Drosophila melanogaster: one gene and its partners. The protein of the gene in region 3 interacts with the protein of the main gene of each other region in a pairwise test. Each region holds a gene or a part of one and is shown on either strand. Other genes may lie near its edges.

Region 1 (4,637 bases), on a different chromosome or scaffold from region 3:
TAAAAACAACGCAGCCGATAATGCTAATGCCAGCGATGTGGACGAACGCCACCCGCTGCATGGTATCCGGATTTTGGACCTATCGCGCATCATCGCCGGCCCCTATTGCACCATGGTTCTGGCGGATCTCGGCGCGGAAGTTATCAAGGTGGAGCGTCCACACTTTGGCGATGAGGCGCGTAAGTGGGGACCACCCTTTCTAAAGAACAGCAACGATGCCGCCTACTTCCTGGCTCCCAATCGCAATAAACGGAGCATCTGCATCGATATCAAGCGCGGCACGCAACTCCTTCATCGCCTGGCCGAGATTAGCGACGTGCTGGTGGAGAATTATGTGCCCGGCACCTTGGAGCGTTACGGCCTGGGCTACGAGCAGTTGCGTAAGGTGAATCCCAAACTGATCTATTGCTCAATGACGGGTTATGGCTCTGTGGGACCGTATGCCAAGCGACCCGGCTACGATGTGATTGCCTCCTCGGTTGGAGGACTGATGCACATCACCGGCGAGCGGGATGGACCGCCCAGCAAGGTGGGCGTGGCTGTGACGGATATGTCCACAGGACTGTACGCCCATGGAGCAATTTTGGCAGCCCTCTATCAAAGGACCCGCACGCAACGTGGCCAGAAGATCGAAGTCGACCTGTTGTCCACCTGCTGCTCCCTGCTGCTCAACGTGGGTAGCAACTACCTGAATTCCGGGGTCGAAGCAGGAAGGATGGGCACCGCACACTCCAGCATCGTTCCGTATCAGAGCTTCAAGACGAAGGACGGCTATCTCACCCTGGGCACTGGCAGTGATGTTCAGTTTGTGGACCTGTGTCGCCGCCTAAAAGTGGAACATTTGGCGCAGAATCCCAAATTCAAGACCAACAAGGATCGTGTGACCAATCGAGTGGAGCTGCTGGGAATCCTAGAGCAAATGCTATCCGAGGACACCTCGCGCAACTGGATGAAACTTTTCGAGGGCGCCTCCTTTCCCGTGGGACCTGTTAACTCCATTCCCGAGGTCTTCGAGGACGAGCATATAAAAGCCATTGGCCTGGTGAAAAGCCTGCGGCATCCCAAGGACGAAACAGTCAAGGTGGTTGGTCCTCCTGTGACCTTCAGCGAAGCGCGAAACGATGCCCGGACAGCTCCTCCGATTCTTGGCCAGCACACGGATGAAGTGCTGGGCGAACTACTGGGTTACGGGCCGGATGAGCTGGCCAAGCTGAAGAAGGATAACATTATTCAGTAACCCGATTGGGATTTCGGACAGTCTAAAGTGATTTGAATTCCTAAATCCTCTGATATATACTGCTTTATATGGTCTTTTGCGACCAATATTTTAGTGATAATCATGCATTTACCATTAGACCGACTAAAGGCCTTAAAAAATAAATGACAATTTCTCATAAAAATGCAACGAATAACATGAAGAGGCTGGACTAACGATCTGATAGCTAAGTAATACAAAGTCGTTAGCGGAATTTCATTAGAACTCGATTTGCTAACTTCTACGACGGGGTCAAAAGACCATGAAAAAGGGCAAAGATTATTTTTCGTATAATCTCGTATGTGTCGTAAATATCATGAAGTAAATGACTGTAAACATTTTGATTTTTACCTAGTTAAGGTACGATGTATACGCAACCAAACAAATACGGCTAGAAAGCTATTTCCTGGTCGGGGTGAAATATACTGGATTAAACGTCAACACTTAAAGCTATAATCAAAAACACGTTCGTTAAATATCGTCAATTAGTATCTCACAAACTCAAAATGCGATATCTCTATAGAAATCGAAATTAGGCTAAGCTGAAATTCCGAAACGAATGTTACATGGTATAACTACTACGACTGAAAATGGGCTTAAGAACAATATGCGCGCCTTTAGTTTAAGGCAGTAGTTTAAACAATGCATGAGCCATTATGAAACGGTCTTATAAACGGTCTTCAAAGGGTAATGTTCAGATTTCAGCGATATACATAGAAAGATTACATGAAACCAAGCTCCATGGATATGAATAATATATTGCTTAAGCAGAATTATAGACTTTTGATATCATTTCGAAAAATAGAATAGGTAAATACCGGCCAAGCAAATTTAGACTGCGTCAATACGTGAAAACATTCTTTCCACAGCTTCCATCAAGTAGATCATAATATCATAAGATCTAACTGATTATCAAATATTGACCTTAATGTCGATCGAGCTATATGTTGTCTACACAAGAAGTCCTAACGCACTCTACACTTTAAGTCCTTGATGCAATATTCTCCAATGATTCTGCAGTTGTCCATTGACCTCTTTTCTTTGTGACAAGAAGGTGATAGTCGTTTTCTTCTATGGATTTCTATTTCTAATAATAATTTCTATTCCCTGGCCTTGAACGTAATCGCTTGATTGGCCTGTTCCGACAGGCGGAGTAGTAGCCGTGCAGGATGAGTGATTGGGGCGGGGTTCTTGCGCACCGGCGATTCGCTTACCTGAGCCACAGCTCCTCCAGGTGCAAACGGATGACGGTCACTATCGATTTCAGCACTGGCAAAAAGGTCGGATTTAGGGGCAGGTGGCACAACTATGGGTGGGAGAACTCACTTGCAAATCAACCAAAAATACAAATATGTAGGTCTGTATGTGTATGTGTATAAACTGTCCAATGGAGCGTCTGCTCGCCAGGAACCCAAAACTAAAACTGAAACTACAACTCAAATTGCAGGTGCTGTCCAAAATGGAATAGCAACAACAACGGCAGCGACGTCGACGTCTATAACAGAATTTGTTTGTTTTGGCCCACTGTTGTCGTTGTTGTTGTTACTGCCGCTGCCGTTGTTGTTTGTGTGCGCAAAGTGCATAGACCGCATCCGCGTCTTAGCCTCCAGCTTGGCCCCAAAGCCAGCGCCCCATCCGATCCCGCCCACGCCCCTCCGGCGACGCGGGTGTGGATTTCGCACTTAATGGGTTGAGTTGGGAATATGGGAAAAGGTTAGTTGGCGACGCAGTGGGCTATCAATTAACAGTTAGTTAACTGCCTCTTCGCCTTGCCTGCAAAGTGTGACCAGAACAGGGATTGAGACGGGAGGTTACGGTCATACTTAATTTCTAATTTAATTCATAATTTGAAATAAAATTGGTTTTATTGTGACGATAAATTTATAGCTTATTTTACGGTTTTTAAAACAGATTAAGTTAAAATTTCAGATTTCAGCTTATAATTATTTCATACATATTTTCTAATTTTTCCGAATTAGTTTGTCCACTAAGAACTTTAAGCACCTAAAATTATTTTTCATCTTTCTGTTATTTGAATTCAAAGCTTAGACAATTTTAACTTGTACGTAAAGTAGTATAATTACACATTTTTGTTTTTTAACTATTATAATCTTATGTTAGTTATAAAAGCGAAGGACCTTACCAGTTACTTCAGGCCTTCTATAATCACAAAAAGTCTTTAAAGAATTTCGCAGCAACTAATATACCCTACGAGAAGTGAAGTTCCCCTTTACAATGCCATTGATCTACTCTAACCACCTCCACCGCATTTGTTATTAAAACCAGCCACCGCAACAAACTAATGACAGATGCTTATCTGCCCAAGCAATCGAAGTCCCAGACAAAGAATTGCGAGACGTTTAGTTTCCCATTATTATCCCCGAAAACGTTGGACTTTGGACCAAGTTGGGGGAGATAGAAACTTTATTCAAAACTAGCCGCCCGTTTTGGGGCAGCGTTATAGGTTGGTATTTTTCGTTGATAAGATTAAACAAACATCGCAATGCGGTCACATCGTCATTGTTGATTTGTGATAGCTGTTAAATAATAATAATTCCGTTTTACGAATTTTGTAAAGATGAGCAAGCAGCCCTCGTTCGTGTCGCGCAACCTGGTGGCCGTCGTGATGATCCCCAGTCTGGTGGGGATCCATCTGGGCTGGAGCTACATGCAGAGCAACCGAAAACTGGTCACGGAGGCGGAACAGATCGAGATGCCGCCGGTCACGGTATGTTAGTCCTAATTCTTAAGGCGATCACCTCAAGACAGCAGCTCCTCTTTTTGTCCAGTTTGCCAGGTTTGTGTGGAACAAGCTAACGGGCGCAGGAAGTTCGACGGAATGACAAACCCTCTGGTGATGAGCTTAAGACATACAATCTATTTATTGTATAGAATAATTAAAACTACATGCAAACTGTATGGTACAATCGGCTGCTGCCCGGGCGACACATGTTGGCCGGGCTGCAGGTTGGGACACAGACAAAATGGAGATATAAAGCCAGAGACTACACATACTTAGTCTAGGGGGACAAGAGAGATTACTGCGTGAGGGCCGAGTGAACGGTGAGGTTGCCCAGCTGTGCGTTGAATAGAACGTCGCTGATCAGTTTCTCGGCCACGATCCGCTGCGTCGGGTTGATGGAGCGCAGTTTGCTCGCCACATTCACGCCAATGGCATCGTACTCGTCGTCTTGCCGGTGCGATGTGCTCGTAGCCGCTGTGGTGGTATAGGCAGTGGTGCCGGCATTGCCAAACAATGGCTGATAGTGATCGCGGCCTATCTGGATGGTGGGAACGCCCTGATGTTGGCCATTCGTCTGCTGCAGGTGGAGCTGCTGCTGGTGGTGCTCCAGATGATTGACCGCCTGCGTGGGGAGAGGAG
Region 2 (5,097 bases), on a different chromosome or scaffold from region 3:
TGTTGTTGAGGTATTGGCTCTTTCGCAATCCTGACAATTTCAGTGCCTGCTCCTTGTCGAAAGCGATCCCAATCATGCAGGAAGCGAGATCCGCACACAGCACTATCTTTCCGTACTCGTTGATCTGCAGAGGGACATTCGTGGAGCGCAGTTCCAGGAGGCGTACTAGTTCGGTGGTTTTCCTGAAAGGATTCGATCTTACTGGGTAAACCTTTAAAACTATTTATTTATCGCTTACTCTAGCACGTTTGGCTCCTCCCTTAGGCCCATTTTCGTAATTAACTGTTCTATTAAGGTAGTCATTGTAGTTATTAACAATAGACTGAAATTCCAGTCGTGCGTCGTTAAAACCAAAATAAAGTACAACAAATGGCGCGAAATGCATCAGCTGTGAGCGATAAGGTTTTTCTTTGTAGCAATCGAGGTTTAATAGCTGCAGGCACATTCAAAAGGAACCAGATCCGATAACCAGCGAGCCAATATATTTATATCGAACGATAACTATTAAAGAATGAGAGTATAAAAATATAAAAACCTTAAATTTCACCCGATTTTGTTTATTCATTTTGCGCTTTAGGGAAATATAAAATTAACATTATGTATGAGGCCCAGAATTAGATTCACTGGCACACAAACGAACTAGTGCGTCTCATTGTCGCTGTCTTCGTCCTTGTTGGCCGCATCGCCGGCTTTCCTCGCCTTCTCCGTCAGTTCTGAGGGATTTATGAGATGTAGGCCACCGGTTACCCTGCCCACCAAACCCATTTCGAAGCGGAAGTCCTTGTCCTTCAACTCGTCATGGACTTTGTAGATGCTAAGACATAGGATAGATATGTTAATTATGAATAAAAACCTAGATTCTAAGTGCAATAGATGTCCCAAAAATGCTTCCTATTGTCAGAGCAAGTAAGTTTCCACTCGGAACTAGGATAAAGCCCGCCCGATTTTTGAAACAGTCCCTTTTTTTTGCTGTAAACGTACATTTCACCAGCGCTCTCCACCAATTCGTCGGTCCTCATATCCATCTTGAGCTTCTCCATCTCAGTCTTGGCCAGCTGCTTGGCCTTGCCGCTGGCGCAGGCGAAGTAACCGAAGGAGGAGCCGGACGGCTCGATCTTGTAGAGCTGTGGCCCCTCTACTTCGTCCCAGGAGGCGAGAATGATGGAAAGTCCGAAGGGGCGGACGGCACTGTACAGAGTGTAGGCGTGAACGTAGCCGGCGACTCGGTGGCACAGGTGTTTAAGCGGGATAGCCTGCTCAAATTGCTGTCTGTAGTTGGCTGCCTCCTGACGCGCAATGTCAGCCACAAAGTTTCCATCGGCCACCAAGCCGGCCACCGCCATTCCGATGTTCTTTTCGATGGTGAAGATGCGTCCGCCGGCGTCTGGTTCGTACAGTTTACTGGTGATGATCTTCTCCACGGCCAGCACCACGGCGTCCTTGCCCCGAATCCCGATTACGGTGCCGCTCTTCTCCACCGCCTTTGAGGCGTAGTCGATCTGGAAAACGCGGCCATCAGGCGAAAACTGCGAGGCCGACAAGTCGTACTGGAAGCGAGAGGGTGACGTTAGGGATCTGCAGATATGTAGTTCGCTGACCACTTACTCCAGTGCCAATAGTACTCATAGCGAAGACTTTGTGAAAATTTAAACAATTCAAACGCAAAAATTAGTTTAATTCCTTGGGTCGAATGCGACGATGATTTGACGGCTTTTACTTGGCTAGTGGTGGACAAAACAAAGGGGCCTATCGGTCAAGGAGGTTCGATAGTTTCGGAACGACTATCGTCAATAAAAACCAATCGTATACCAATCGCGATTTTTTCAGATAAAATTCGAATGATTAAAAATAAATCACCAATTCATGGTACTTTATTTATTTAGCACAGTTGAAGTTAATATCATTCTTTTCTTTTCTACTTATACATTTCGAATATCCCCTTACATGCTCTGTAAAGTAACATTTCGAACTAGTTCCGTTCATGTTCTGATCCGCGGCGCACGCGGTTTTTGTATTTATAAACAACGAAAATCATGCTGGCGGGTATCAGCGAGAAAAGGTAACATAAACTTAATAATTACCTGATGATTGCAAGACTACAACAATTTTAAAATCCAGCTATGCGGCGGAGGCCCGCTACACGAACTTCTACGCCGGCGGCGACATCGCCTGGAGCCCGAATGGCCATCATCTTTACTGCCTCAATGGCTCAGCTGTAAACCAGGTGGATGTGCAGACCTCCCAAATCCTAAATAGCTACGGCTTGTCTTCCCCGTCGGCGGATAACAAGAGGCCGGCGGAGCTGGACAATATCGATGTGGAGGAGGATACGATTACTTGCTTCGGGCTGTCACAGGAGCATCTGGTTACTGCCCATCGAAGTGGCCTGCTTAGGCTGTGGCAGCTGGACACTGGGAAGCTGGTGAAGCTGTGGAAGGCGCAGCACAAGGGACCAGTCATCCGAGTTGAGTTTAGTCCCTGCGGCAGGCTTATCTGCACCAGCGGCGGTGCAGATGCCACACTGAGGCTGTGGGACTACTCGAACAACAGCTGTCTGGGTGCCCTCAAGGATTTCCCTGGTCCCGCTTGGCTCCTCGTCTTTCATCCCAATGTGCTGCGCAAAGAGATCTACGCCGGAGGTTCGGATAACACTGTCTATGCCTGGAACTACGAGACGAAGACACTTGTGCACAAGATGCGAGGTCACCTGTCGCAAGTCACCGGCTTGAGCTTTAAGAGCAACGCGTCCGACTGCAATGAAATCGTGACTGTAAGCCGGGACAAGGTTATGATCGTGTGGCAATTGCAGGAGCAGTTGGAAAGCAAGCAGTTGAAGGTTCTTCCCTTGTACGATGAGCTTGAGGGAGTCGTGTACGCAGACGAGGGACAACTGATAATCGTGGCGAGCGGATCGGGCAAGCTGCAACAGGTCGACCCTAAATCTTGGAAGATCAGGGATATTCTTTCTCAATCTGATTTCCAAATTAGTAGACTGCTGCACTGCAGCGAGCTAAAACAGCTGGCCCTGGTCACTACAGAGCAGAATATTTTGGTCTACGACGTTGAAACCCTGGAACCCATTAAACACTTGGTGGGTTACAACGACGAGATCCTAGACATGTGCTTTATGGGCGAACACGATCGCTACCTGGCCGTTGCCACCAACAGCAAGCACTTCAAGCTGTACGACACGGAACACGACATGAATTGCAAGCTGATCGTGGGTCACTCGGATACGGTAATGTCCCTTGCTGCATCCCAAAATCTGCTGATTTCGGTGGGAAAGGACTGCAGCGTTCGGCTTTGGAGGCTTCAGCACGACAAAGATTGCTCGCTTGAGGCTCTGACTCAACAGGCCAACTGCCACACGTCCACTATCGGTTGCGTGGCCATGACGCACAACGGAGCTACTGGCTTTGCATCCGTGAGCCAAGATGGCAGCATGAAGGTATGGCAGCTCGTCAGAAGTAAGGAGGATCGCAACTCGTACTCTTTCAACCTGCGCTACGCAGCGCTTTCCCACGACAAGGAGGTGAACTGCGTTGCATATGCTCCGAATAACAAGCTTATTGCTACCGCGTCGCAAGACAAGACGGCTAAGGTGTGGCTGGCGGAGTCCAACACGCTGCAAGGAGTGTTGCGGGGACACACCCGCGGTGTGTGGAGTGTGCGCTTCTCTCCGGTGGATCAGATCGTGCTCACCTCATCGTCGGACTGTACTCTCCGCATCTGGTCCATCAGCAATTTTTCGTGCATAAAACGTTTCGATCAGGAGTGCACCATACTGAGAGCCGAGTTCCTGGATCACGGCAAGTTCATTATCTCCGCTGCTTCGGATGGCCTTCTTAAGCTGTGGAATATCAAGACCAACACATGTCTGCAGTCCCTGGACGAGCACAACGATAGGGTTTGGGCGCTGGCCGTATCCGCCAGGAGCAATCGGTTCTTTTACACCGGCGGCGCGGACTCCAAGCTGATTCGCTTCGGTGATGTCACTCAGGTGACGCGAAACGAAGCGCTGGACAAGCGGCAGGCCGCATTGGAGCAGGAGCAGACCCTACATTCCCTTCTGCACGCCCAGAAGCAGCTTCACAAGGCCTTCGTGTTGGCTCTGAACCTGGACAAGCCCAAAGCCAGTTTCGATATTATCAACCACTTTGTCCGCAAGCGAGATGAGCCCGGTCTCCGGCAATTGGTTGACCAGTTGAACGTTGACCAGCGGGTTGCGCTGCTGCAGCACGTCAAGGCATGGACCACCAACTCGCGCCATTCGCAGGCGGGCAACATGATCCTCAAGTACTTGATCGGAGATGCTCTTCTGGATCCCAAGGCGAGGTTCTACTACAATGGCAACATGGTCGAGGTACTCACTCCGTACGTCCAGAGACACTTTAAGCGGGTCACCGAGCTGAACAAGGATCTGGCTTTCCTAGAGTTCATTGTCAAGTGCATGTAGGCTTTAGCTTCGGAGCCGTTTCATTCATGATTGTTAACTTAATTCAGTTTAATTAATTTTAGGAAAAAAATAAAGTAGATAACCATACATTACATATTTGTTTCGAGATGTTTAATCACCAATTTCACACTACAAAAACCAGGGCGTTACTTTTTATTTTGTATAACGTTTATTACACAATAGTTAATATAACATTAATAACCACTTACGTATTTACTAGAGGGGGAATCTCGACACAGGTGTTTGCGAATTAAAAATTCCATAATCGTACAAATTTGATTCAAATGACTTGCGGGAAAAGCCCTACGACAAATTTACAAATATACTTGGGCACGAACTTATGCAATCCGATATATTTTGGCAGGGACAGCTAAAAAATTTGACCAGTTACTCATGGTCGATTGATCCTGGAAACACGGAAACATGAATGATTTTGATTCATATAAAAATAGACACAGGCGACTTTGGACAGTTTTATGATCAATCGAACTGACAGAGTCCCTAAGATTATCACTGTTTTCACTTAATTTTACATTGGGTGTGTGCGGTGGCAGCTTAGACAATGGACATTTTGATCCGGTGGCACTGTCTATTCGATAATCATAATGAGGTCCTCGCCCTCCAGCTTCGTTCCGTTGGCA
Region 3 (7,876 bases):
TACCTTCGATAGTAGCGCGAACGCTTGGATTTGCTCTGGCCCAAAACCAAATCCTGAACGGCGTTCTCCAAGTCGGCGTAGTCCTCGGCTCCGCCGGAAGGAATCACAGCCTCCGGCTCCTCCTCCTCCACGTAGACCAAGGGCAAGGTTTCCAATGAGGGATCCTGAGCGAAAAAATGCACATAGATCAAAAAATTGTGTTAAAATTTTAATAAAAATTAAAAATATTATCACTTAAGTATGCATTACTCAAAAAGTTATTTATAAGCAAAAGCTAATATGTTTTGATGTTTATGTTTAATATTTTAAAAAAATTTAATTTACCGTGTATTTTTCAACATTTTCATCGAAATTTCGACAGCCTGTCTTCGCACTCACCTCCAGCATTTTCATGAGCAAAGCGGATTTGTCCACCAGCTCCTGCTCGGCACGCAAATCCTCCTCCATCTTCTTGAGCACCTCGAACTTGCTGGCCAGCTCGAGTTCGTTGTACACCGCATCCGCGTAGTCGGGACCTTGAGGAACCACTGCCAATCCGAGCTCCTGGGCGCGGAGTAATTCTGCCGTGAAATGAGCAAGCCAAAGACCTTATTTGCGATTTGAATGTTTATTCAAGCTGTCGCTAATCCGACCACAACCACGCCATTGCCATTCCCATTCCCACTTCCACTCCCACTCCCACTTAATTCCCCGACTCCTGCTCCTTGCCATCGGAAACTTCCGCCGTTTGATATTTGAAAGTTTGAATAGTTTGTTTGTCTGTCTGTCCTGGTTGGCTGGAATATGTTTTCCCCCGGCTCTTCGGTCGTTTCAATGGACTGGCGGAAATTGACTGGCGGCAATGAGTTTATGGCCACAGCATTCCTTTTCCCCTCCGCGGCAGGGGAAGCCTTCTCGGCTTTTCGACCACGTCCGTCAGTCAAGTCAACAGGCACTGCAACTCCTTGACTGCCTTTTGTCGCATTTGGCATCCAGTCTGCCCATCACTGTCCACTCGATGTCTCTTCAAAGAGCCGCAGACAGCGGACGCTCATGAACCCAAAGCATTTACAGTTTTAAATTTAAGGACTCCTCAATTGAAATAAATAGTTTCGAGATCAGAAACAGAAATAAATTTAAATTTTTGTTTCATATATGTATGTTTATAAGATCATGTCCAAAAATTCAAATGTTACCAACTCAAACCAAATCGATATTCGTTAAATTTCCAATCCATTTACCCATCTATCAAATCGCTTGGAAAACAAGTTCGCTTATTGAAAATCGGATATGACATTTTATTGCCGGTTGGTAGAAGGTAGGTGGTAGCAACGTAAAACGCAAACGTCGAATCAAATTCGTCAACAAATTTGAAAATCTATCCCGGGCAGTTTGGTGGGCGTTTTAAGTGCTCAGCACAAACAAACACATGCTCCACATATTGTGCGATGGTCAACAATGTGAGGCACTTGAAAAATTGTGCACTGACCGAAAATGTTCAGCGAGCGGTGGTCACCATGGCCATTAGGGATAGAGATGGTGGGCGACGGTTACGGCTAAGTGCACGCCATGGGTCACCCTAACTCTTGGTCCACCCCTTTCGAATGGGTCGCCTAAAAGTCGGCAAGCAAAAATTTTGAACGTAATCATGTACTCAGGTGAGGAGTAAATAGGAGGCCATAACTGCCATTAAATATTGAAAATATTTTAGAAAAATAGCTAAATGACAACAAAATAACTAGTTCATTTATTAAAGTTCCTGAACAGATTCAGTTCCAGTTCCTCAGCTTTATGGATCAGAATGCCTATTAATTTGGCTAATATAAATAAGGTCTATATATTTTTATAGGGCGATGGAATAGCTTGGTTATAGGATTCACCTTGACCACGATTACGTCTTCGCATTCAAAAAGAACCCGATAACAATTTAATTGAAATGGTCTTTGGATGCAGTTGCTATCCTTTTAATTCGACTGGGGATTAGCTGATGCCCGGGAAGTTTACCATGGCAAGGAAAGCGGTAATAGGGATGTTTATGACTCACCATCGCCGGGATCGTAAACAGCTCGTTCCTGGGCATCCAGGACATCGCCGGGCAGAGCGGGTCCTTGGCGAACGGGTCCGCCCCCGACCGCTAGAACGGGCAAATGAAGACGTTGTGGTACGGACGCCACGCCCTGATGGTCACCCACTTTGGCACCGTTTGCTCCGCCTGCTCCTCCGCTGGCGGTGGACTGTGCAGTCAGGAAGCCGGCGACGTGACGCGTCCTGCTGCACAGGATCGTGGTAGCCAGGATGCAGAGCGCTAGGATGTCGGGCTTCATGTTCATACAGCCTCTGCGGATGAGCTCGGGATTAGTGCGCGGGTCGTTGGCGATGTGGATGTCTCTGGAAGGCAAAAAAAAAAAAAGCGTAGATGTTTGTACAAGAGGGTAATTACCGTCACTACCACGGCCATGGGATGGATACCTACCCCATCCGCCCCATTATGCCGTGCGTGTGGGCGTCTCTTTGTGCTCAAGCAAACAATACTCAGATAAACACGCAAGCAACCAAGAAACCCCCGCCAAAAGTAGGAGAATCGCGAGGGAAACTGGAGAAATGGGCGGTGGGTGCCAAACGTCAAAAGGGCGTCTCTTGGATAACTTGGCGGCTGATTCTGGGGCTTTTGTTTTGCGCTCCTGCTTAATCTTTCTTCGCGCGAAGAACCGTGGGCCATACGGGCAAACAAATTCTACTCCTTTTCCACTAACTAAGGCCGTTATTTAAAAATTGGGTAAAAATATAAAGGTTGTGTACTTTGCAGACAAATAGTTAATAACAAAGACGGATGCAGTATGTTGTTTATAAAGTAGAAATTACACAATTCAACTATCAGAAAAATAATATATTTATATTAATATTCGAATATTAAAAAGTACTGCCTAATTTTTAACATCCCATTTATTTATAGACAAATGAAAGCTACTCTATAATTCTTGTAGATTTTAACGAAAGATGTTTCTAATTAAAATTGATAAGAATGCTATTACTTTTCGCATAGATTTCCACCACTGTGCAGTAGGTGTTTGTGTGCTTTTATAAATATTTTTTATGTCAGGTACTGCATCGCGGTTCATACTGGGCCCACTCTGTGCGCTTTGTCGTTTCATTTAATTAAGGATGGGACGTCGCCGAAGTGAGCGAGTGGGCTTAACTCCTTCGCAGCGTATTTTTAGCCCATTTAGCTCAGGAGCCTGGTTGTTGGGGTTTTGGGGAAACCCGCCAACCTTATCGCATTTTTTTGCGTTTAAAAAACATTCGCTTGACGAGCAATATAAATGAGTTGCCTGAAACTTTTGGCACTTGCGGTCTCGCTGGTTGAGATGTCTAGGATCGGCTTAATTTGTCTGCCCAAGCAACTGAAAATAATGTATGCCTAAGACAAATTTCGACAAAAAAGTGTGAAAATTTTCACCAAGAAATCCAAAGTTCATTATTTAATTAAGGGCTTGGTAAATAATTAAAGCGCTGTTTGCTGCGAAAGTTTAAGCGTCTGTTTTTTTAAGGAATTATAATTTATTACATAATTCTATAATTTAATAATATTAATCTTTATTAAAATATTTTCCAGAAAATCTGTTCTACCTCACAGATAAATACATTGAAATTAGCTCAATTTATATGGTTAGTTAACCACATAAATCAATCAAGCAAATCAACTCTGTCACGCCCTCTCAAAAAAATAAAGACGGTTGCATTTGGTTCATTAAAATTGCTCGGAGAAAGAGAAATTCTCTGTGGATGATTTTCTTTTCACTTTTCGTCACGTTTTGATTAAATTCAATTGAAAATTTGCAACTTTGTCAAAATATTTGCGAACAATGTTCTCTCGTAGATTTAGGTCTTTAAGTGCATTGCGATTTTCCTGTTTTTTTTTGGTATTAATTTTGGAAATAAATTGCAATTTCTTCGGGCATTTCCTGCAAGAAAACTTTTTCAATTACTCCTCTTTTATTGGCACTCACTTAAGTGGGCGACACTTTGGCGTTATTTTTGGGAAAGCACAACTTATTCGAAATTGCTGCGGAGAGAACGAATTATAAGTAAACAAAGCAAACACGAATCGTTGTTAAAATGCCTTAATTAACTTGTTGACACAGTGTCAAAAAGTGGACAGAGCCCAAAAAACAAAAAATAGGAAAAAAAAAGCAAAAGAAGGGAATTCACCCTGGTTGGCGATGTCCCCAAGGTAAAATGAAATTAACTTGGAAGCGAGGGAAGTTTCAGGAACCCATATATAATTGTACGTTCATTTTTACCCGTCGCCTGTTTTCCTTTTCGCAATAACCGCACAGCTAATTGCTAAATTGAGTTGAAGTGTAACCGAAACGCACACGAACCCAAAGGAATTTTCATAGGCCTTATCTGCCACTATATTCGCCTACGTACCACCTGGACATGTGTGGCGGAAAAACTGCTTAATTAGGGCTAAGGATGTGGAGTTGGTCAAGTGCATCGGACATTTTGTCGCCGGAGTCCGGCCAATTAGACACGGTCTACGTGCGTAACAATCCTGGGTAGGATATTACATAACTTTTCTACTTATTGAATCCGACCATCTGGGATACTTGTCAAAATTTGCACACAAAAGGTTACACAAAGTGTTTGAGCCAAACCAAAGGACCAGACAGACGGCAATGATTGCTACGAAAAATCAAAAAAAGGGTGCTAGCCAAGAAAATTCCATGAAATTCATAAGTATTTTTTTTGCAGTTTTAAATCCTCGCCAACTACAAAATCGTGTACTAATCTTTAATGAAAAGTATAGCCTGCGGAATGTAAGTCAATACCTCTAGATATACTTTTCAGTTGCTATGTCTAAAGAAATAGCACAACCAATTTCAGTAAATACATTCTCCAGGAGAAAATCCTGTGGGATGCTGAATTTTTGTGACATGAAAACAGCTTTGGAATGCTTTCGATTGATTCAGTTTTTTTTTTTAAATTTCTATACGATTGTCAGGAATTTTTGCACGTGGAACTTAAGGGGTTTGAAACAGAGAACGAGGTCGGGGACAACAAATATTGATGCTTTTTTCTATTTGTTTCTCCTAGATTTTCATTGGTTTATTGACATTTGTGTTTGGCATTGGTGGGAATTCCTTGAGTTATTGACATTGATAAAGTATTTATGGATTGCTGTCCCGAGTAACCTTAAAACCAATTTTCCCAAAATTTGTAAGCTCACCAGTGCAATGAAATGAATTTTTAAATTTAACTAGTTCAGCTGTGATGCTCTGTGCTTAAAAAGCTTGAACTTTAATAAATTAATAAAAATAAATTATTGTAGTTAAACATTTACAAGATTAGTATAATATATAAAATTAATCATATAAATGGGGTTTTCTTGTAAAAAGCGTTGGTGAAATAAAATAAGAAAATTTTACTTTTATTTTTGAAGAGAACTTACAATGGCTAGGCTCTATCTTTATGGTAATTTTCAGTTTTAAGCCAAAGGTAGTTTTGTGTTAAATATCTTCTGATACAATTCAAAATATAAGAGCAGATTAAAATAATTTACCAAAGAAAAAGTACTGAATTAATGAATTAAGTTTTAGCTGGCTTTTCTTTGCCTTAAAAATATTTCTGTATTATTAAGAACGAATTCACTTAATAGTTTTAAATATAAGAGTTCTCCTGTTCTTATTTGGCATATTTAATATATGTCCACAAATTGTTATTTATTTTTTTAGGCGCGTATTTCGAGTTTCATTGACGACACTGTAATCGATGACGAAAGCGACGGCATTACTAAGATTTCACGTCACGTTTAGTTATCCTTTTTATGAAATCGACTGGCTTAAATTAAACACAGACCACAAGATATTTTTTGGAAACTTCTTAAAGAGTTTGGCGTGACTGATATTCGAAATACACCGTTAACACTCACTTTAAAATATATTCCTGGAAACCGTTTGAGTTACTGAATCGGAATCAGAATCGGAATACTGTCAACTGTTGCACCTACTACTTGTTGAACACTGCGTGGTTGACTCGCGGAGCCGCTTCCTTTTATAAGGCCGCATCCGAAGTTGAAACCGATTCGTTGCCATCGTCGGCCGATGACGAGTGCGTCGATTTCAACGAGCCGATGTAAAGGCGCCAAAAATTGCGTAAAAGCTTCAAACAAGCTTTTACTGGCCACTCCTCCTTGGAAAACGAAGCCACGGCCGTTTTTATCAATGAAATATTTTGGGGACATTTAAAAAGTTTAGCGCGATATTCGCGAATGAATAATGTCGGTGGCAATTATTCAGCAGGATCACGATATGCGCCGCAAAGTAGACAACAAGTCGCGAAAAGACGTCACGTGGCAAGGTGATAAATTATCTGCGGGTTGGGGTGGATAGAAGCCTTTGTTGACGGCCCTGTTTACGGAAACGTATTCTGAATAGTCCGGGTCACTCGTTTCTCGGAATCTCGCCTTTCTGTGGGAGGTCTCAAAGTTCCTCAAAGGACCTGCCAAGCATGACGCTGCGGAAATCCCTGCAGGCCGGTAGTTTGGAAATGTATTTGAAAATTTCCAGCGAATCGCCTAAATGTAATTGCATTGTCATATTCCAGTGCAAAATGGTATTGTCATATTGCTGCACTTATGAATTAGGCAACGATTATATTTATAGATCGATGATGATATAGCCTATCAGTCAGGCTGATAAATACTGGAAAAAGATAAAAAATCTATTTAAATGTGGTAAACTCATAAAATTTAATTCGAAAGGGTTTGATGTCTGTTTTTTTTTTACCTTCTATTGGCGTTTATTAAAAAATAATCAAATTTTATATTTATAGCTAATGTGTATATTTAAAACATTTGCTGCCTAAACTTAAACGGCAATGGCCTCGGCCAATAGTCCATCCTTTCCGTCCGACTCCCAGTTGAACTGCAAATCCAAAAGGAACACGGCAATCGCAGAGGAGGAATCGAAGGGTCTGGACATCCATCCAGTCGGATGTCAACAACCGTCGCAGCCCGCAGGCCTTGAAAATGATGACACTTTAATGTGAAATTGCCGTTAGTAATGGAGGGCAATCCAAACGATCCTTCGATGTTTTCGTTATTGTTTTGAGTGTGTGTATGTATGTGTGTGTGACTGTGTGTTGTTTTGGCCTAAAAGGCGGGCCGGGAAAATAAGCATATATAGGGTTTTCTTGAAAATCGCCTGGGGCAACAGAAGATGACACTTACGCAGAGAAAACCAATAATAGCCCGCTGAAAAGTTTAAGTGCTCGCGGGCAGGGGAAAGTGTCACTGGATGGAGGCTTCCTCATGTAGCGCGGCAAAAGTCATATTTTTGGCCAGAACCTGCTATTTATAGTCGTCTTTATTTATTTCGTTCGCTCTCCTCCACTTCTTCATACTTTACGCTCCTTATGGCAAGCGGATTGTGCGACTTAAGTTGCATCAGTCCGAAGTCCACCCACCCAAATGGCCACCGATTCATCCAAATGCGTCACGCCCTTCTGGTTTGGCACATGCAATCTCGCCATGTGCCGACGTGCCAAACAAAATGATAAACAAATTAGCGCAGCTAATTACTCTGAAATTTGTGGTTGGTGTTCCGGGAAACAGAGCCTGATATGTCATATATAAATATATTTCTTATGAAGTTATAATGAAATTAATATATATCATCATATACATTTATTTGTAAAAATAAATAAAATAAATCATTACCCAAAAATCATTATACACATGAAAACTCAGCGGACCTTATCATTTACTAAATTAGTTTTCCGTGTAATCTTCTTTCGAGGATTCGGTTTTCAGAACACTATTTGGCCCGCATATCTTTCCGTTACGCATATCCGTATCGCTGAGCAAATATTTGTAGCATACTTGTCGGGCGTTGGC
Region 4 (4,790 bases), on a different chromosome or scaffold from region 3:
TATTTTCACAGGTTCACAGGTTTCGGGCAACTTTCACTTTCGGTTTGGGAAACTTAGGGAACTGAGCAGCCTACACTCGCTGACGATCTGCGGAGCTATGAGCAGCAGCATCCGCCTGAGTTGCCTACGAAGCTTTTCGCATCCAAAAAATGGCTGCCCATATACCACTACAAGCGTACCTATGTATATACATACTACTCCTCAATCTCTTGCATAACCTTCAGCGACAACGACAACAACAGTGGGGCTGAGGAAAATGCGGGAAATTCTCCGGGTGACGTCATTGATTTTTCGGAAACCATCTTTGTTAAGGCCATTTTGCGTGGGCGGAGCTTCGGCCATGCGCGCCCCAAAGTATCCAACAGATACACATGAAATATGTGCGCACGCCTGGTGAATGCTAAAGAAATAATAAAACGGGATAAAGGGAAAGGAAAATATAGATTGTGATGGGGCGACCAAATGAAAAGCTAATTAACAAACTAATTTTGCCACTGTTTCTGACATTTACAATGACCCACAACTTTTTATGAGAGTTTCCTGTCGAATGAAACAAAAAAAAATAACCCTATAATTACTTTCATTTCCCGCATATATGTACATATGTGCGCTTAGATATAGAAGCCAAAGCATATAGATTCCTGGTATATAGAACAAAAACGAAATTTGGGTCAAAGCTAGGCCGCCCGCCCACTTGGGCTATGCAAAATAGATATGTATCTCAGAGTGAAATTGCATCATTTCCAATAGAACGCGTTTCGTAGCATACTTTTGAGGGCCAGAGAACATCTATGGCCATGTTATGCAACTTGGGTAAAGAGCCCAGGAGCAGCAGGACCAAAAAGGACGTCCATCAAACTGGAGAAGCTTAAACAACGAGAACCCTAGGAATACTTGCCGCAAAAGAGTTCCACCCACTCCACTTCCATTCTTATCTGACACACGGAGCAGCTGGCGTAGGATGTTACCACACACTTGGCACTTGGCACTTGGTCCTGCTGCTGCTCCAGCTCCTGCTCCCTGGGCAGGATCCAATGCGTCAGCGTATTTTCGTTGCGAGGGCTCTGGCACTTGAAAAGTGTCTTTCGATGTAACTGATTGCAACTTAAGAAGGCCATTACAGTGGCAATAACTCCCTTGCTAGTCCCTGTGATCCATCTTTTTTATTGAATGCCTGCAATATTGGCAAAATGAAGTCGACACTTGTTCAACATGACTTTCAAAACATTCTCATAGGGCGTAGTGCATTACTTTGTAGCACTAGCTAGAAGAAATCCAACGGCAGTTGCAGAAAGTCCATAAAGCCGTAATTGCACAACGAAATCGTTACTTTTGATGTGGCAACAACTGTGTGAAAGGACTTTCTTCGCAGTTTTTTAATTGTTAATTGCTCAATTGCTTTCTTGAAACAATAAAAACATTTTAGAAGACCTTAAGTGACAAATATGGCGCCTAATAGATATGAATTTGCACCCTACGCCTTAACATCTGCGTAACCCTTTAACAAAACCCATCCATCACAAGTGTCAGACAAATATTTCTGATACAAAAACAGCTCATGGTATTTAGAACCACTAAACATGGCGAAATAAAGTCGCCTGCTATCTGAAAAGCACTTCAACGGCATGTGCTACCAATAATAATTAGGCACTCGGTCTGCACTTATCGCAGATATATGGCAAACAGACCAGTCTGAAAAGGAGGGGGGGATCGGGTGTATCTGCGATAGTCTATCCTCTGATTCGCACTTGAATCTATGACACCGGCAGATAAAGCCATCAAAAACATTTATTATTAGTAAGTGGGATTTTCGTTTGGGCCGGTTTGGGCTCAGTTGAACAACTGCTACCATTTGTAGCGGACAGCTTTATATAAATCCCGTCGAGTTAAGGATTTAAGCATTTCGAGCGGAGCAGGTGCCACGAACAATCGGATTTAATTGAGTCAAACTTTTGGAAAAGCACAGTGAGTTGTAACAGGAAACGGAAACAGAAACAGAAACAGTAACAGAAACAGCAGCAGACATGGACAAACAAAAGGATTATGGGTTTAAGCCATTTTAAGAGCGATGTTTAAAATACTCTCAAAAATAATGGTTGCAATACAAGCATGTCGCCTTGCAGTCCCTTTTAAAAGTTATATGTACATTTTTAAGGAATATTTTAGTTAAAAGAATAGTCATATTACTAAAAATAACAAAGCTTTGAAGAACTATTTATTTGATTTTAATCAAACTAGAAAGCTGAAAGGGATTTGTAAAATTATCAAAAAATAAAACTATGCAGTCATTAAATATTTAATACTTCATTATAAACATTCCTTATTATTAATGATAGCAGATAAATAAATTGAGATAGATACTTTGCATCAGTAGAAATAGTTAGACAGGATCGATACCCTTTCATAAGAGCACAACTAGCGAATGGAATTGAACAATGAGATGAGCTCTCGACCAGAAAATAGGATGCTCACCTGGCTGTGATTGCACGTAGCGCAAGTAGGCCCTGTAACCCAGATAGGCGAAAATGTTTGGAGTCAAGTGCCACCCACGGATGCGGATGGAGCTGGGAGCTTGGGTCTGCTATTCTCGGGCGGCTAATTCAGACCGGGCGTTTCTGGCCAGGGCGAAGCGTCCTCTTTGGCACTCGACTCTCAACTGCCAGCCAGAGGCATCAGAAGCACAGTGGGCCAGGGAATGCTCCGCACCCCGGGGGCCATGAACATTTTTCGTTGCCCGTGGAAAACAAATGGGAGTTTGGGAATTTCGACTGTTTAGCCTGTCATTACGCTGACAAAATAAGATTCCAGCAGGTTGGTTAGCTGAGGCATTTATGTGAGGTATTTTCGACGAGAATCCCGTTGCAAAAGCGTTGTCAGGATGCCAGAATGCCAGGATGCCAGGTGGGAGTCTCAGTTGCGTTCGAAAGACAGGCGATTGCATAACCCCTTTCGGTTTGGCAAATCAAGCGAATGATATTCGGATAGCAAATGCTCGGGATAACAATGGTGTAAGGATTAGGCCCCGCAGGCAAGTACCCCAAACGCTGCTTTTTGCTGCCTATTTTTGAGAGCGCGATAATTGCATTTCGAGCACAATTGCTCCTATTGTACGGGGCCAAACAGTCTCCATTTTGGCCCAGTCCTCCCTGGAGGATAATACGCCCCAAACCAGCGTGAAAAACCCATCCCCCAGTTCCGTAATCTACCCATCTCTTTTCAGCCCAGCGATGGGAGAGCGTGTTGAAAAGCGACAGAGAAAAATGGGGGGATGTGGATTACAGCTCGTCATACCATTGGTCACAATCCTCATCCTGGCTGCGCAGGCGCAGGCTGTGACGTCATCGCCCGTCCTGAAGGACGACACTTTGGGGGATGCTGCTCCGACGGCAGCGCATTCAGCAGCCAAAATCCTTGAAGACGTCCAAACCATCAGCGCAGTTCAGGATTGGAGTTTGCTGTGTAAAGAGCTCTGCGGGTAAGTTTCGGATAAACAGCAATCGAAAACTCTAGGAATTACTGAAAGTAAGGTGCCTCGGCGCAAAGTGACTCAAGTGTTTATTGTTGGCAAGTGCAGGTTTCCCCCCAACACAAAAAAAAGTGCAAACTAATAATGATAATAATACGACACATTTACCAACTAAAATGTTGGCCTTGAGAAATCATTTGCAAATCGCGTCGGCCTTTCAAGTGGCTTCCATCGAGGTTTTCCCACAATCGCGTGTGTCAGGGAAATATAATCCGCATTCCTGATGATCGGTGGCTATATCAATGATTCGTGACTCGACTTTTGTGGCGTGTGTGCAGTAGTTTGTCAAGTGCCAAATATGTTAAGTATAAATGGCACTCGAAGTCGCCAGAAGTACTGTGCTCACTTAAAAAATTGAATAGGCTTTAAAAAATAAATTCTAAATGTCGGGTCAAAGCTAATCAAAATTATTTCACAATTTTACGATATATAATTTACAAATATTATTAATTAGAACATTTTGGCTTGCGTTTATATTTAAAATATACTCTGCATTATTTTTTAATTTGGTGTTTAATACTATTTAAAAATGTTTTGAAATAAATATATTTTTTACAAAAAAAAAAAACAGTTTATCAAGTCGAGATTTTCCTAGATCATTTGTGCTATTTAAAACTATGTTATCTGTAAACCTAGTTTCAATAACAATTATGCATATATCATGGTTCTTAACTTGGTAATGCGAGTGTCATATACTGTCATCTTAAATCTTTTTTTTTTTTAATTTACTCTGCATTGCAATTTAATCAGCATTTTATGGTTGATCCTTGCAGAGCTGGCCTGGGCGTTGCTTCAACGCCTGATGTGGCCAAAAACACAATCCTGAGACCGGAGACGGATGTGGCCAAGTGCCGGCAACTGTGTGGACTGCCTAGGGGTAAGTGGAAAATAATATATTGAAACTCTATTCAAAATATTATACTTTAATGATTATTATGGTCGAACTTAAGGTTAATTTGCTTTTTGAAAAATAAACATACTAATCAAATGCACTTATTTACTTCCAGCTAAAGCGGGCGACTTGGTCTGCTCGAGCTTTTGTGGTCAGATGGGTCGCTCCCTGCCCGGATGCAGTCCCTGCCAGCAGGAGGTGCGCAGGATGAGGGTGATGAAGGAGCGGAAGCAGGAGGAGGAGAAGCAGGAGGAGGTTCGAAAGGACGAGGAGAAGGCCAGTGGAGTGCTGGGCGATCCAACACACGGTTCCAGAGCCGCGGAGAATGCCGAACGGAGAGGATCGGTCGAGGAAGCAACAGTGTCCGCAGCT

What was found.
Region 1: the proteins of CG7191 (region 3) and CG5191 interact in a two-hybrid assay, tested with the Drosophila melanogaster proteins (one large-scale study listed by BioGRID).
Region 2: the proteins of CG7191 (region 3) and CG1671 interact in a two-hybrid assay, tested with the Drosophila melanogaster proteins (one large-scale study listed by BioGRID).
Region 4: the proteins of CG7191 (region 3) and Gad1 interact in a two-hybrid assay, tested with the Drosophila melanogaster proteins (one large-scale study listed by BioGRID).

What each region holds. Positions count from the first base shown.
Region 1 is NT_033777.3:20,559,244-20,563,880, reverse strand, and holds the start of CG5191 (uncharacterized protein), read right to left. Parts: upstream 3,017-4,637; 5' UTR 2,583-3,016; coding exon 2,582-2,582; exon of another isoform or gene 2,525-2,581; coding exon 2,470-2,524; intron 1,396-2,469; exon of another isoform or gene 1,238-1,395; coding exon of another isoform or gene 1-1,237. Other genes in the region: CG10877 (uncharacterized protein), read left to right, coding at 1-1,237; CG15922 (uncharacterized protein), read left to right, coding at 3,834-3,983, 4,045-4,098; CG5180 (uncharacterized protein), read right to left, coding at 4,294-4,620.
Region 2 is NT_033778.4:9,846,092-9,851,188, forward strand, and holds CG1671 (uncharacterized protein), read left to right. Parts: upstream 1-1,969; 5' UTR 1,970-2,033; coding exon 2,034-2,059; intron 2,060-2,118; coding exon 2,119-4,456; 3' UTR 4,457-4,551; downstream 4,552-5,097. Other genes in the region: Orc6 (origin recognition complex subunit 6), read right to left, coding at 1-182, 239-303; Prosalpha7 (proteasome alpha7 subunit), read right to left, coding at 640-814, 982-1,547, 1,606-1,626; PCB (pyruvate carboxylase), read right to left, coding at 5,046-5,097.
Region 3 is NT_033779.5:7,765,753-7,773,628, reverse strand, and holds the start of CG7191 (uncharacterized protein), read right to left. Parts: upstream 6,002-7,876; 5' UTR 5,912-6,001; intron 2,368-5,911; 5' UTR 2,310-2,367; coding exon 2,024-2,309; intron 561-2,023; coding exon 379-560; intron 165-378; coding exon 1-164.
Region 4 is NT_037436.4:4,085,740-4,090,529, forward strand, and holds the start of Gad1 (glutamic acid decarboxylase 1), read right to left. Parts: upstream 3,006-4,790; 5' UTR 2,473-3,005; intron 1,966-2,472; exon of another isoform or gene 1,842-1,965; intron 105-1,841; exon of another isoform or gene 1-104. Other genes in the region: CG14989 (uncharacterized protein), read left to right, coding at 3,228-3,475, 4,300-4,403, 4,534-4,790. UniProt on the Drosophila melanogaster protein: Catalyzes the production of GABA.